Saccharomyces cerevisiae S288C: one gene and its partners. The protein of the gene in region 2 interacts with the protein of the main gene of each other region in a pairwise test. Each region holds a gene or a part of one and is shown on either strand. Other genes may lie near its edges.

What was found.
Region 1: the proteins of SEC26 (region 2) and ERV41 interact in binary tests that used the Saccharomyces cerevisiae proteins (3 or more experiments, as listed by UniProt).
Region 3: the proteins of SEC26 (region 2) and RET3 interact in binary tests that used the Saccharomyces cerevisiae proteins (3 or more experiments, as listed by UniProt).

The regions. Positions count from the first base shown.
Region 1 is NC_001145.3:138,563-142,201, reverse strand, and holds ERV41 (Erv41p), read left to right. Parts: upstream 1-1,987; coding exon 1,988-2,018; intron 2,019-2,111; coding exon 2,112-3,139; downstream 3,140-3,639. Other genes in the region: SMA2 (Sma2p), read left to right, coding at 669-1,778; ITT1 (RBR-type E3 ubiquitin transferase), read right to left, coding at 3,258-3,639. UniProt on the Saccharomyces cerevisiae protein: Constituent of COPII-coated endoplasmic reticulum-derived transport vesicles. Required for efficient transport of a subset of secretory proteins to the Golgi. The C-terminal Ile-Leu motif is required for exit from the endoplasmic reticulum.
Region 2 is NC_001136.10:937,364-942,666, forward strand, and holds SEC26 (coatomer subunit beta), read right to left. Parts: upstream 3,454-5,303; coding exon 532-3,453; downstream 1-531. Other genes in the region: mitochondrial 54S ribosomal protein uL5m MRPL7, read left to right, coding at 1-130; YDR239C (uncharacterized protein), read right to left, coding at 3,694-5,303. UniProt on the Saccharomyces cerevisiae protein: The coatomer is a cytosolic protein complex that binds to dilysine motifs and reversibly associates with Golgi non-clathrin-coated vesicles, which further mediate biosynthetic protein transport from the ER, via the Golgi up to the trans Golgi network.
Region 3 is NC_001148.4:533,010-536,138, reverse strand, and holds RET3 (coatomer subunit zeta), read right to left. Parts: upstream 1,122-3,129; coding exon 552-1,121; downstream 1-551. Other genes in the region: RQC2 (Rqc2p), read left to right, coding at 1-319; TAF3 (Taf3p), read left to right, coding at 1,436-2,497; mRNA-binding protein RRP12, read right to left, coding at 2,730-3,129. UniProt on the Saccharomyces cerevisiae protein: The coatomer is a cytosolic protein complex that binds to dilysine motifs and reversibly associates with Golgi non-clathrin-coated vesicles, which further mediate biosynthetic protein transport from the ER, via the Golgi up to the trans Golgi network.

The DNA of each region.
Region 1 (3,639 bases), on a different chromosome or scaffold from region 2:
CTCTATTGTGGTTTTTGTAATGAGTATTAATCAATAGGGAATGAGTTCCTGCTTCTGGAAACTTTTAGGCTGAATTTGCCGCCTATGCAGTTTTCTTTCCCTTTGCGCAACTTCATCTCTTCTCAATGTTGTTGTTTTTCTATGATTTTCGATCTGGCCGTGTCAACGTTAATAAAAAATAAGTCGAGGAAGAGAGTAGTTACATATGTAGTGGTGTTCGTTGGTGCAATATTTGTTGATATAACGATGAGACAGGTCACCAAAGAATTTCAAATATTTGAGGTTTATATCTTTTCTAATTTGGCGCCAAGTTATTATCCTGTGATACCCAGTAAGACAAAAAATGCCCCATAGCAGTCCTTATCTTAATACTGACCATTATGAAGGGGCTTACATTGTACAAACATATTTGTAATAGAATGTACCGGATATTTAAAATAACCCAAGCATCAATTGTGTAGTATTCTTAATTTTTTTTCTTGGTAAATTTTTGGGAGAACATTTTTTTGTGTCATCTTAGGGGAAATTATAAACCATTATACACTCCATACCATGCACTTACTTAAATTCTATGGACACATCCATCAATTAAAAGATAAAACTAATAAATAGAAGCATGTTATATATGAATATATATATTCTTTCTGTCATAATATAAAAGGGCGAGCATGTTATTCCCTAAACGTCTGATTGTGTGGGGTGTTCTATTGATTTTAAGTTTATCACAATTTGTCCTCTACCTGCCAGCCACAACATGTACGAACTCTAAGGGACTTAGGTTATGCGCTCCACAGTTTACTATAACTGTGATTGGAGGATCCAGTACTGCAAATGAGTTTATTGCAAGTGTAAGAGAATTTCTGCGATTGATTTCGTACCTGACAATTGACATGGGTTGGTCGAATGAATTCACTGATCCAAGTGTGTATGAGGATGAAAATTTGGTGGACACATTTCAGCCTGATAAGGTTTTTGAGCTCAATTATTTTGGATTTTGTAAACGGAGTAATAAAAGCAAAGTTTATTGTACCTCTAATGAGAATTATGGCATGGACGTACTTGAAGTACTTGTCAGAGACGTCGGGATTCAATTAGGTAACATTTCCACTACACGATCGAATGAAACCAAAAAATTCGGAGACTCTCTCGTATTGACCTACCGTTTGGCATTGACATCTATTCGTGATTTTTTGAAACACGACAAGCACACAGGAAATGCCCTATCAAAGGCTTTGATTGGCAGTCCTGATCCAAATGTAAAAGGCGTGTCACCAACAAAAAACTATCTGAAAGGCGTCAACCTGGCATTTATACTGATGATGTTCAACGGCATGGTTTTTTACTTTGCAGTGTTGGAAATAATAGTCGGATTCCTCAGTATCTGCGTAGTGTCAGCCTTTGGGGGAGCACTTAGTGTTGGGAAACGACACCGCTTATTTCCTATGCTTTTGAAGTCATCAAGTTCAATATTAGTTGTTATTGCTACATTGACAATATTATGTAACATCGTATATTTGATTGCACTGAAAACATTAGAACCTGAAGAGGTAACAGACGTAGGATCTGACAACGCTGCTGTACACACTACAGGCTGGGAACTGTTAAAAGTAAACGTGGGAAGTGGGTTCATTATGGGGCTCGCCAGGTATGCCATCCAGTGGGTCCTATTGGTACTCGCATTTCTTGCAGCAAATCATTACAAAGCTAAGCCCAAAAAGTCTGATAAGTATACAGAAGACACATCTAACTCCCCTTCTCCAGACTTGATGGAGAAGTAATTCACCACAGAACTTTTTTTTCAAATGACAGTAAATATGTAAACATATACACAGCCTTTCAGTATATTAAGTATTTTTGCATAACGTCCTTTTTTCCCGCTCGGTCAAGGCTTTGAAAAGATATTATCAATGTTCTATTCTTACTGAGAAAAGCGTTCCTCCAAAATGCTTTTGCTGTAACGTACAGGCAGAGACTTCAGGAGTATATAATGGCAGGATTGAAGACATTTGATGCGTTTCGTATGTTATATGGATTTTTCTGAAGTAGCCCGCTTCAGCATATTTTATTTTTGCTTTTGCTTTTTCACTAACAATGGAAATTTAACTTTACAGCAAAAACTGAAGAACAGTACAAGAAGAAATCCACCAAGGGTGGCTTAACATCTTTGTTGACATATCTGTTTCTGTTGTTTATAGCATGGACCGAGTTTGGTGAATACTTCGGTGGTTATATTGACCAGCAGTACGTAGTGGACAGTCAAGTTAGAGATACCGTTCAAATTAATATGGATATATACGTCAACACGAAATGTGATTGGTTGCAAATCAACGTCAGAGACCAAACAATGGATCGGAAACTTGTATTAGAGGAATTGCAATTGGAAGAGATGCCATTCTTTATTCCTTATGACACAAAAGTCAATGATATCAATGAAATTATTACGCCGGAATTGGATGAAATCTTAGGGGAAGCTATCCCAGCAGAATTTAGAGAAAAACTAGATACTAGGTCATTTTTTGATGAAAGTGATCCTAACAAGGCACATCTTCCGGAATTCAATGGGTGCCATGTATTTGGGTCCATTCCGGTAAATAGAGTTAGTGGCGAATTGCAGATTACAGCGAAGAGTTTAGGTTACGTGGCTTCACGCAAAGCACCACTGGAAGAATTAAAATTTAATCATGTTATTAATGAGTTCTCTTTTGGTGATTTCTATCCATATATTGATAACCCATTGGATAACACTGCACAGTTTAATCAGGATGAACCTTTAACTACTTACGTCTATTACACATCTGTTGTGCCCACTCTTTTCAAGAAATTGGGGGCAGAAGTGGATACTAATCAATATTCTGTTAACGATTACCGCTATTTGTACAAAGATGTCGCTGCTAAAGGTGATAAAATGCCGGGCATCTTCTTCAAATACAATTTCGAACCATTATCCATAGTAGTTTCTGATGTTCGTTTAAGCTTTATACAGTTTTTGGTCAGATTAGTGGCAATCTGCTCATTTTTGGTCTACTGTGCTTCGTGGATTTTCACACTACTGGATATGGCTCTTATCACCATCATGGGACCTAAGTGGTCCTTGCGTTATCAGCCAGATGATAAAACTAAGGGTATTTTAGATAGGTAGATATGTAAAAGAAAAGAGAATGCAGTATACCCAAGATAACGTTTCATTTTCATCTGTATAAATTTCATGACAATAGATTATAAGAAAAAGTGTGAGACTGAAGGCAGAGCGATCGCACTCAAGTTTCTGTGCCAGGCATACCTTCAAACAATCGTCCATAACAGCCTGAATATGCTTCTCTAAAATGTTCATAAGGGTCCTCAGGATAAAGTAATACTCCGCATATAAAACAGAACAGCGTCCCGCATACTTCGCATTTCATTTTATTGCAACCTTCACTTCTTTCTACAACTACCTTACACTTTGGACATCGCTGCAAATTCGAACCCTCTTTTTTAATCGCTAAATCTAACATTTTTTCAGCAAGGTAATCATTGACTTCAAGTTCTAATACTCTTCTCCCATATTTTGCCTCCAGTTTCCGCTTTCTCTCATATGAAGTAACGGTATCATCTAGATATTCCTCAATAATATCGGTCGATAACGAAACTTTCTTGCCA
Region 2 (5,303 bases):
TGCAAACCAGGACTCATGGCCTAAAACTTTTGGTATGCACATAAATATAAACACCTCAGCTCAATTAGATTACCAGGCGAGAACTTTGTTGAGTGGGTTCCAGTTCCCATTTTTCGGAGAGGAGAAATAAGAATACAATCTCATGGTCCTGGCCAGTTAGCCATGCTCTATGGCAGAAAGGCAAAGGGCATATATAATTTCCCATTCGTCATGTAAATATATAAACTGTACAAGATACTATCTCTCTCCATTTTTCAATCATATAGTTCTCTTTGGGGCACTGAGATGTCTACAAATTGTTATAAAATTGGACGTCTCTTACACAACTCACAACTCAACTCTGTATAAAGATTTTTAGGAAAGAAAATGTACATAAAAGTGAATACTTGTTTAAAAATGAGAACAAAGATTCCTACGCAATTAAAATCTATTTAAAGATTTTCCTTATTTTTTTATTTCTTTTCGAATTTTTTAAGTTTTATTCTTATCTCCTTTGACATTATAACTTACATTGCATCAGCTCAGGGTGGTTCAAACATGAGTGAGAGCAAGTTTATTGGTCTTCTTAGCAATCAATGCCACTCTGTCACCTAGGGACAGAGCCAAACCTTGTCCCTTTGATCGGATACGAACATAACCTATGACATCATTGGTTTTGGAATCCTTTTCGATACACAAGTTGGCTAGGGCATCTTCACCAAAGGACGACTTCGCATACAGATTACAACTTAAGAACCTACAATCATCTTCTCCCAACGACTCTGATGGTGTTAGAATACCCATATTAGTTCCCTTGACCAGTTCTCTCAAATAAGCATGCAATGTTGGTAGTTGTGATTTGACCGATATTTTGTTCTCCCACTCAAATGCATTCCACATGGTACGGAAATGTTCATCGTCAGCAGTGGCTGGTTTGATATAATCCATAATGTCAACATGAACGTCGTTTAAAATAACATAACGAGCATCTTCACCATGCGCACCATCATAAATAATATTACCGAAAATGACACCTGTGTCAGCAGAGGAAACTTTGACAGTAACAGTGAATTTGTGGAAGCCATGAGGAATCACGTTGGTCTTCTGTGGTGTGTCAATAATCTTCAAATCACCAAGAGTTGCAAATTGCACATGTAGGTTTTTCAATGTTTCTTTCGTTTGATTAACAAGAAGAACATCTAATACGACGTCAAATTGATTGTTTGTAATACAAGCCTCGGCGTAAACTGGATCAGAAAAGCCACATAAAGGTACTATCTTCTTCAGCTTCGAAATACTAGAGCTGCTAGTAGCGTGGATTGCATCTCCTTTCATTGCCAGTTGTAAATCTTCTTCAATACTATCTTTTTGCACATTAGTAGAATCCACACCAGCAAATTGCCTGAAAGAAATCGGCGTATCAATTGGTTCGATGTTTTTGCAACTGTCTTTTAATGCTCTCTTATGCTTGTTCTTCTTTGCAATTTCAATTTGTCTCTTGAATGAGGATTTGGTGGTGTCCAGGAATGCAACCTCCAGAAGTTTAACTTCTTCCTTCTTTTCCTCAGGATTAACTTCATCCAATAAAATAGAAATAGATGTCATAACTCTCTCTAAAGAATCTTCATCAATTTTTTTCTCCACCAAAGAGCTTTGACCCACTCTTACAATACTAACTAAAATTAGTAAAGCTTCCGCCTTTAGAGCATTGATGACAGTTTTGTTCTTGGAAACGTTTTCGAATTTTAAAACAAGTTTAATGATGGTGTTGGCCAGAATGGCAGCTGTGTAGAAATCACCACTTAAAACAAACCGGCGAATTGGAGGTCTAGAATCACGTTCTTCATCGGTAACTGACTTTTGAGAAGTCTTCACATCGAAAGCGCTTTCAGTGGCATACGTACCGTCTGGTAGAATAACTGGACCAGTTGGCTTGGCGGTAGCGTCAACCTCATTTTCTTCGGTGTGTTCTTGGTTTTGTGTTAACTTTTTGATTTCTGATTGAAGGATAGGAACTTCACCTACGCTGTTACGAATGTGCTTCCAACAATGTTGTATCTCACTTTCTCCTTCAGCATACTCACCCATAATCCATAATGCACCGCGGTAAGCTTTAGCAGATCTCACTTTGTCTAGCGTTTGAACCATGTTTTCAAGGATATTGGCTCTAAGTTGTGGGTATTTTTCGATCACTTCTTTGATAAAGGCAATGATACCACTGGCGGCAACCGAGTTTAAATCACCGATGAAATCTAATAATAGCGAAACAACACTTGCTGCCATTTCTACAAAGTTTACAGCCACGGTACGAATAGTTTTTATTAACAATTGTCTGTACTGCATTGCCTTGTCTTGATCTGGGTTATTTACGGTTGTTTGCAGCTCTTTCTTCAAAAGCTGAACAACATCTTCAGCATTTCTGGATGTGGCCAAGTCCATTGAAATATCAAGCGCCTTTGAACGAACGTCTAAATCTTCTGCATTCAAGACTCTCAAAATATCCAGGGTTAACTCTTCCAAAGCACCTACGTTATTAGCATTGATGTCTTGAATACGGTCTAGAACAATTAACTTAATGTTATTATCAGAAACCTTGACGGCCAAGTCAATCAATTTGTTAACCGCAGGAACCAAGACATTTGGATTGGCAGACAACACAGTTAGGGCTAATGCGGTCTCGAAGATGACTTCATCGGAAGTCGTGGTCGAAAGCAGTTCCATCAATAATTCGATATATTGGGCTTTCAAAGCAGGGGTCCTGTTTGCATCTTGTCTGATAAATTGAACAAAGACAGCTTGTAATAAAGGGTCTAGGTTTTCTATATCAGCAATATTGTTCTCTAAATAGTGTAAGGCATTTTCACGATCTAATTCAGCTAACCCAATAAATGCATTTCTTTTACATATTGGATCAGTTTCAGCTACTATGAACGAATTGATGATTTCTTTAGCATCGGGAAGTAAATGTTCGCTGACCTTGAAAATGGAGAAAACTGCTAGGATTGCATACTTACGAACATATGCATGACGGTATTCCAAGCACGCTAAGACAGAGGGAACCATCTGTTCTAAGAGTTCGGCCTCTCTCAATTTCGTTAAAAACCTTAATGTGTTACCTCTAATATATTCATTAGGATGTTGCAAATCGTGTTGAATGGCATTACAGACAAGAATCATTTCATGTCTCAATTTTCCATCTTCAGCTAGTTTGGGAACAATTTCCCAGTAGAAGTACAAAAGCTTTTTTAATTCCTTATTTTTAGAAGGCATGACAAATCTTATTATGTGCATCAACAATTCAGGCATTGGATTTCCTTCCAGCATTGTAACTAAAATTGATTTCATCGTGTCAATTTTTTGTTCATCAGATCCCTTTTCAAGAGCTTTCTGAAAATCGGTACTCGAGTAAGTCTCCATACTCGGAGAAGGATCGAAAACCAACGTGTACGCTGGCTGTGAAGAAAGTGAAGTCATAGGTGCACTCTTGTTCAATAGTTAACTGTGATTACTTTTGTTTATTCTCAAGGCAATCTTAACTGAGTCTTAATGAACGTCAAATTTCACTTGTCGAGCTGTTGTTTTCTGATTTCTTTCTACGTGTAGCGAGTACACGGAAAGAAAAAAAAAACGAAGTGATAAGCTGGGTAATACTTTTCTAAAATGCTGTTCCATAAACGTACATATATGACATCTACAAAACTACAGAGAAGGATATCATTCTGGGTCTGAATCAGGGTTTGCCACACGCAAGCCATGCCCCAGAGAATAGCTGAGGTCTACCACATCAGAGTTCGTTGTGGAGACAGAGTCCTGACGCGATATATTACTTCTAGCATTAGCATCACGATAATCTTGAAGAGAGATATGTGTAGGAAGCTTTTGTCTGTTCACGTAATCATTATCCAGTGTTCCACTTCTCATTCTGTTCTGAGACCTTGTGTAGTAGCTGACTACCGTGTTAGATCTTGACACGGAATCAACAGAACCGTTTTGCCCTCTTTTTTCTCGTAAAGGCGCCATTATATCATCACTGTTATATGCTTCATCACCGGGTATGTCCTTGAGGTAGTCTTCGGCTTGTTCTGCGTCAGTGCCTTCTTTTTTTGAAATAGAGCCAGTTTCATTTTCCTTCCCTAACAATTTATGGAATTCCTTTGTGTGGTCAACATTGATTTTATTTTTCAGCCCTGTAGCGGTTCCATCTGATTCTTCATTTCTTGTCTCCAACGCCAGTAATTTCTGTTTAACTTTACCATGCTTGATACCAATTTGCTTAGAACTTGTCCTCAACTTGACCTTAATATTCTTGGGTTGAATCAAATTATTTTTTTGTTTTAGAGCAACCGGCAAGTTAGGAGGCGCTTGTAAAAAGTTAGAAGTCTTGTAATACTTTAGTCGCAGTTCTTCTACGTAACTAGAAACCAAAGGCACGGACTTTTCCGATTTGTTCGATACGACAGATGTTAACGGTGAACATTTGACAGATCTTTCGCTTGGGGCATCATGTACCGGATTTGGTAAATCCACCGTTGCAGGGATAGTAACTGTGTGTTCATTGAACGAGTGAGCAGCCGGCACTAAACTTTCTGAAATGGAGTTTAAACTGTTTAACTCGGATGTTTTATTTGATGATTTTGTGTTTCCGTTTGAGTCAAGAGCAGCCAAAACAGTTGATTTAGAGCCTTTTGATATAGAAAGTCCTGACTGGCTAGAGAAGTTTGACTTGGCATCATACTCACCAGATGATGCAGTGTCAAAAGAATGCTTGTCGGTTAGACTGCCCGTATCGTTTACACTATTTAAATAGAAACTAGGGCGATCTTCATTAACCACCCTAAATATTCTACGATGACTTGGTAACTCAGGCTCTTGTGTTGAGACGTCATTTTTTATAGATGAGCCTTGATCACTTGCGTAATTTATAAATGCTTTACTTTCACTATCCACAAAACCTTTTTCCTGAAGACCATCATCATCATCCTCGTTGGAAGAACCGCTATCAATCTCATTAGTTATCCGCAGAGGCTTTCTGGCGCTTGCAATACTTCCATCACTCCCAAGGTGCTCATTTGATTTATATGCAAAATCAAAATGTGCAGCTTTAAAACCACTAGATTCGTCTTTAGAAACTTGCTGAAGGCTTTTGGTGGATTTACCACTAGCCGATGTACTAAAGGAAAATTTATCATCCCCATCATCCAGATTCGAAGAAAATTCTTTTAGATGATCTGATTGTACTAAATTTCCGTTACTTGCTTTATTTACTTCTTCATTATCCACAATAAGTGGTTTTACGTAGCTTAAGGAACTCTCCGCGCTGACAT
Region 3 (3,129 bases), on a different chromosome or scaffold from region 2:
GGTTGATGATATTATACCAGTATTTGCCCCCTGGCCTGCGCTTTTGAAATATAAATACAAAGTCAAAATACAACCGGGAAGTGCGAAGAAAACTAAGACTTTAACTGAAATTTTACATTATTTCAAGAGTAGACCACTAGACGGTTCTTCAACTGACAACGAAATGGATTGGCCCCAAGAACATGAAATGATTAAAGGCTTGAAGGAACAGGACTTGGTTCTTCTGCTCTGTGTCGACAAGTTAAAAGTAACAATCGCTGGGCAGAAATCCACCAAGAACGGTGGTAACTCTTCGAAGAAGGGCAAAAAAAAACGCTAAATCATATGAGATGAAAAGAAAATAGACAGCAATTATAATTTTTTCATTATTTTTCATCACAGACCAACGAGAAGAATAAAATGATTAGCATGAGGTGACAATCATTTCTAAATGAGCAACATATACTTATATATATAAGTAGATACATATATATGGAAGGGAGAAAGTAAGACACTGCATATATACCATATAAGACCAGCTAAAATTTTCTTCTATCCGCTTTGCCTTGTGATCATAAGCCTTGCTGTAACCTTTCTTGAAACTTGCTCTTTGCGAAACCCCACGCGCCTAAGAAACCCTTATCCAAATCTAATGCCATTTGGGGTTCGTTCGTAGGTGGTTTAGAAACTCTGGATGCAATAGTGTTAGAGTCAGTTTCGAGGATAACACCATTATCAATGGTTTCATCAATAGCTAATAAAACCATATCATAGTTTTCTTGGATGTTTTTTTTGTCCATTCCTGAGTTCAAAATCAAATCCAAAGCTCCTCTGATTGCTGAAAATCCTTGCTGAAGAACAATTTCATTCTCTTCCAGCGAAGCAACTAAATATATCGTGATATCAATGTATTCTTTGTAAAGGACTAAATGATCCTCGAAGATTAAAATCTCCGAATCTTGCTTGTGAGTCTTACGGTATAGTTGTTTCTCAAACTCTTTTTGCTTCTTCACCGAATTGAAGAGCAATTGGTGTCCTTCATCAGATCTATGAGGAGGTTGATAATACTTTGCATAAATTCGTTCTCCTTGCTGATCTAGTATTAAAACAGCCTGAACAGTATATAGCGATAAAGAAGACATCCTGGAACAATGATGCACAGTACTCAAAATTAGCAAGCCAGCTCACAAACAAAACCTAAATGCCTAAAGAACTTCTGTCTAGCAATAACTTCGATATTCCACACCTTGTAGCCTAAACAATGCAAACGTGTTTTTTCACTTGACAGAAGTGGCGAAACGGGTAAGCTCGCGATGCTTTAGTTTTTTTTTTCAGTAATTTCATATTGCATGATGAAGGTATGCTAATATAACACTTGAAGTAGCTTCCTGAGCAATTCCAAATCACCTACTAGCGGAAAACAGCGATATCTTTGGGTCAATAGAGTTCCTCTGCTATGACTACAAATAATGACTTCTATTTTGCTCTACTACGCATATCTATTCTCCAATTATTGAAGGCACAAGGATTTGACAGGGCAAGGCCCAGTCTGGTGGATGTCATGACCGATCTCTATGCAAAATTCTTGAGTTTGTTAGCATCAGAGGTCAGTTCTATCGCTCAGGCAAGATGTGATCAGGACGATACAATTGCTTTACAAGATATAACTCTGGCTCTGGAAAATCTAGGTATTGTTAAGCCTACGAACGTTCTGGATGTCTATGATGAAAACTCCGAATTATCAAGTTCACGAGGAATGGAAAAGTTCAAGGACTGGTGTATTTATAGTACTCAATTGACCGACGCGCGAATAACTGCCTTACCCACAGTAGAATTACTACAAAGTGAGGAAAAAGAATCTGATCCTTTGTCAGCAATACCTGACTATCTCAATCAATTACTGCAAAACAAGGGTGCGAAACAGAAATTAGAAACAAAGAATAGAAAAACAGAGTTGATAGAAGATCTAATAAATAATAATGGATTAGATGATTGGATCAAATTAGTCATTGCTAGACAACGTATAAACATGATTGAAAGAGCTTCCAAAAAAGAATCTCAAAATGTACCGGCTTTACCACATATTGCAGGCTATAAATCTTCCATTCTAAGCCGCCATCACCACACTACCATAACAAACGAAGATAGGATGCCTTCGGCGATGACCCCAAGAGATGAGGATGCCTTAACAGAGATCCAAGAAAATCCATTTGTAACTAGCAAACTGCCGATAATGAGAAAAGAAAATAGGTTAGAAAATATAACTCTTTCATTTGAGGATGAGGAGCTTGAATCACTTGGCGAAGTGGAAGGCCCTAACCAAAAGTCTCAAGAAAATAACAATGAGGAAAGTTTTAAAGAGAACAATAAAAGTTTAACAGAGTCTCCTCATGGTGATGACCGTGACATATCAATGTTTCAATTCGACTCAAATGTTGATACTAAATGGGCAGAGCAGGAAGATATGGACAGCACATTTCAACGTCGAACCTCACTAGATTATGGGGGTTACTTTTAAAACGACATTTCTGCATTTTCTTTCGTCATTATCTCATCCATATTTAATTAACCTCACATTATTACTATATAGTGTACTTTCGCTTCTTCAAGATAATAAGCAATTAAACGCCCGATTCATTTTTTTCTTTATTTTAATCATTTTTAATATACAGTATTATAATATTCTTATATATACATATCTGATTTTTTCTCCAGGTGTGTAATTAGCCATATTGCTCAGTTTCAATCTTCTATAATTTTTTTCTAGATTTGAACTTTGGACCTTTCTTATTATGTTTGCCAATCTTGTTACCTTGATTTACTCTTCCTCTCATTAGCCTACTATCCTTTTCACCATCATCATCATCGCCAAATTCATCAGAGTCCTTTCCATTTTTCCTGAATTTCAGCTTGTTTCTTTGACCTCTTACAGGACCACTTTTCACAGCCTCTAGATACGCATTGATTCCGCTTGTCACAGCACTCAATGGATCGTCTACATTAGTAGAGGGTTTAGGTTGCCCCTTGACAACGAGTTTTCCTTCTGAGTCAAAGTTAAACGCATCATCATTAAACCTTGCTCTATTTTGATTCTTATTGAATTTCTTTGGTCTGGTAGATGATATATGAGCTAGTGTTTGAGAATCTAAC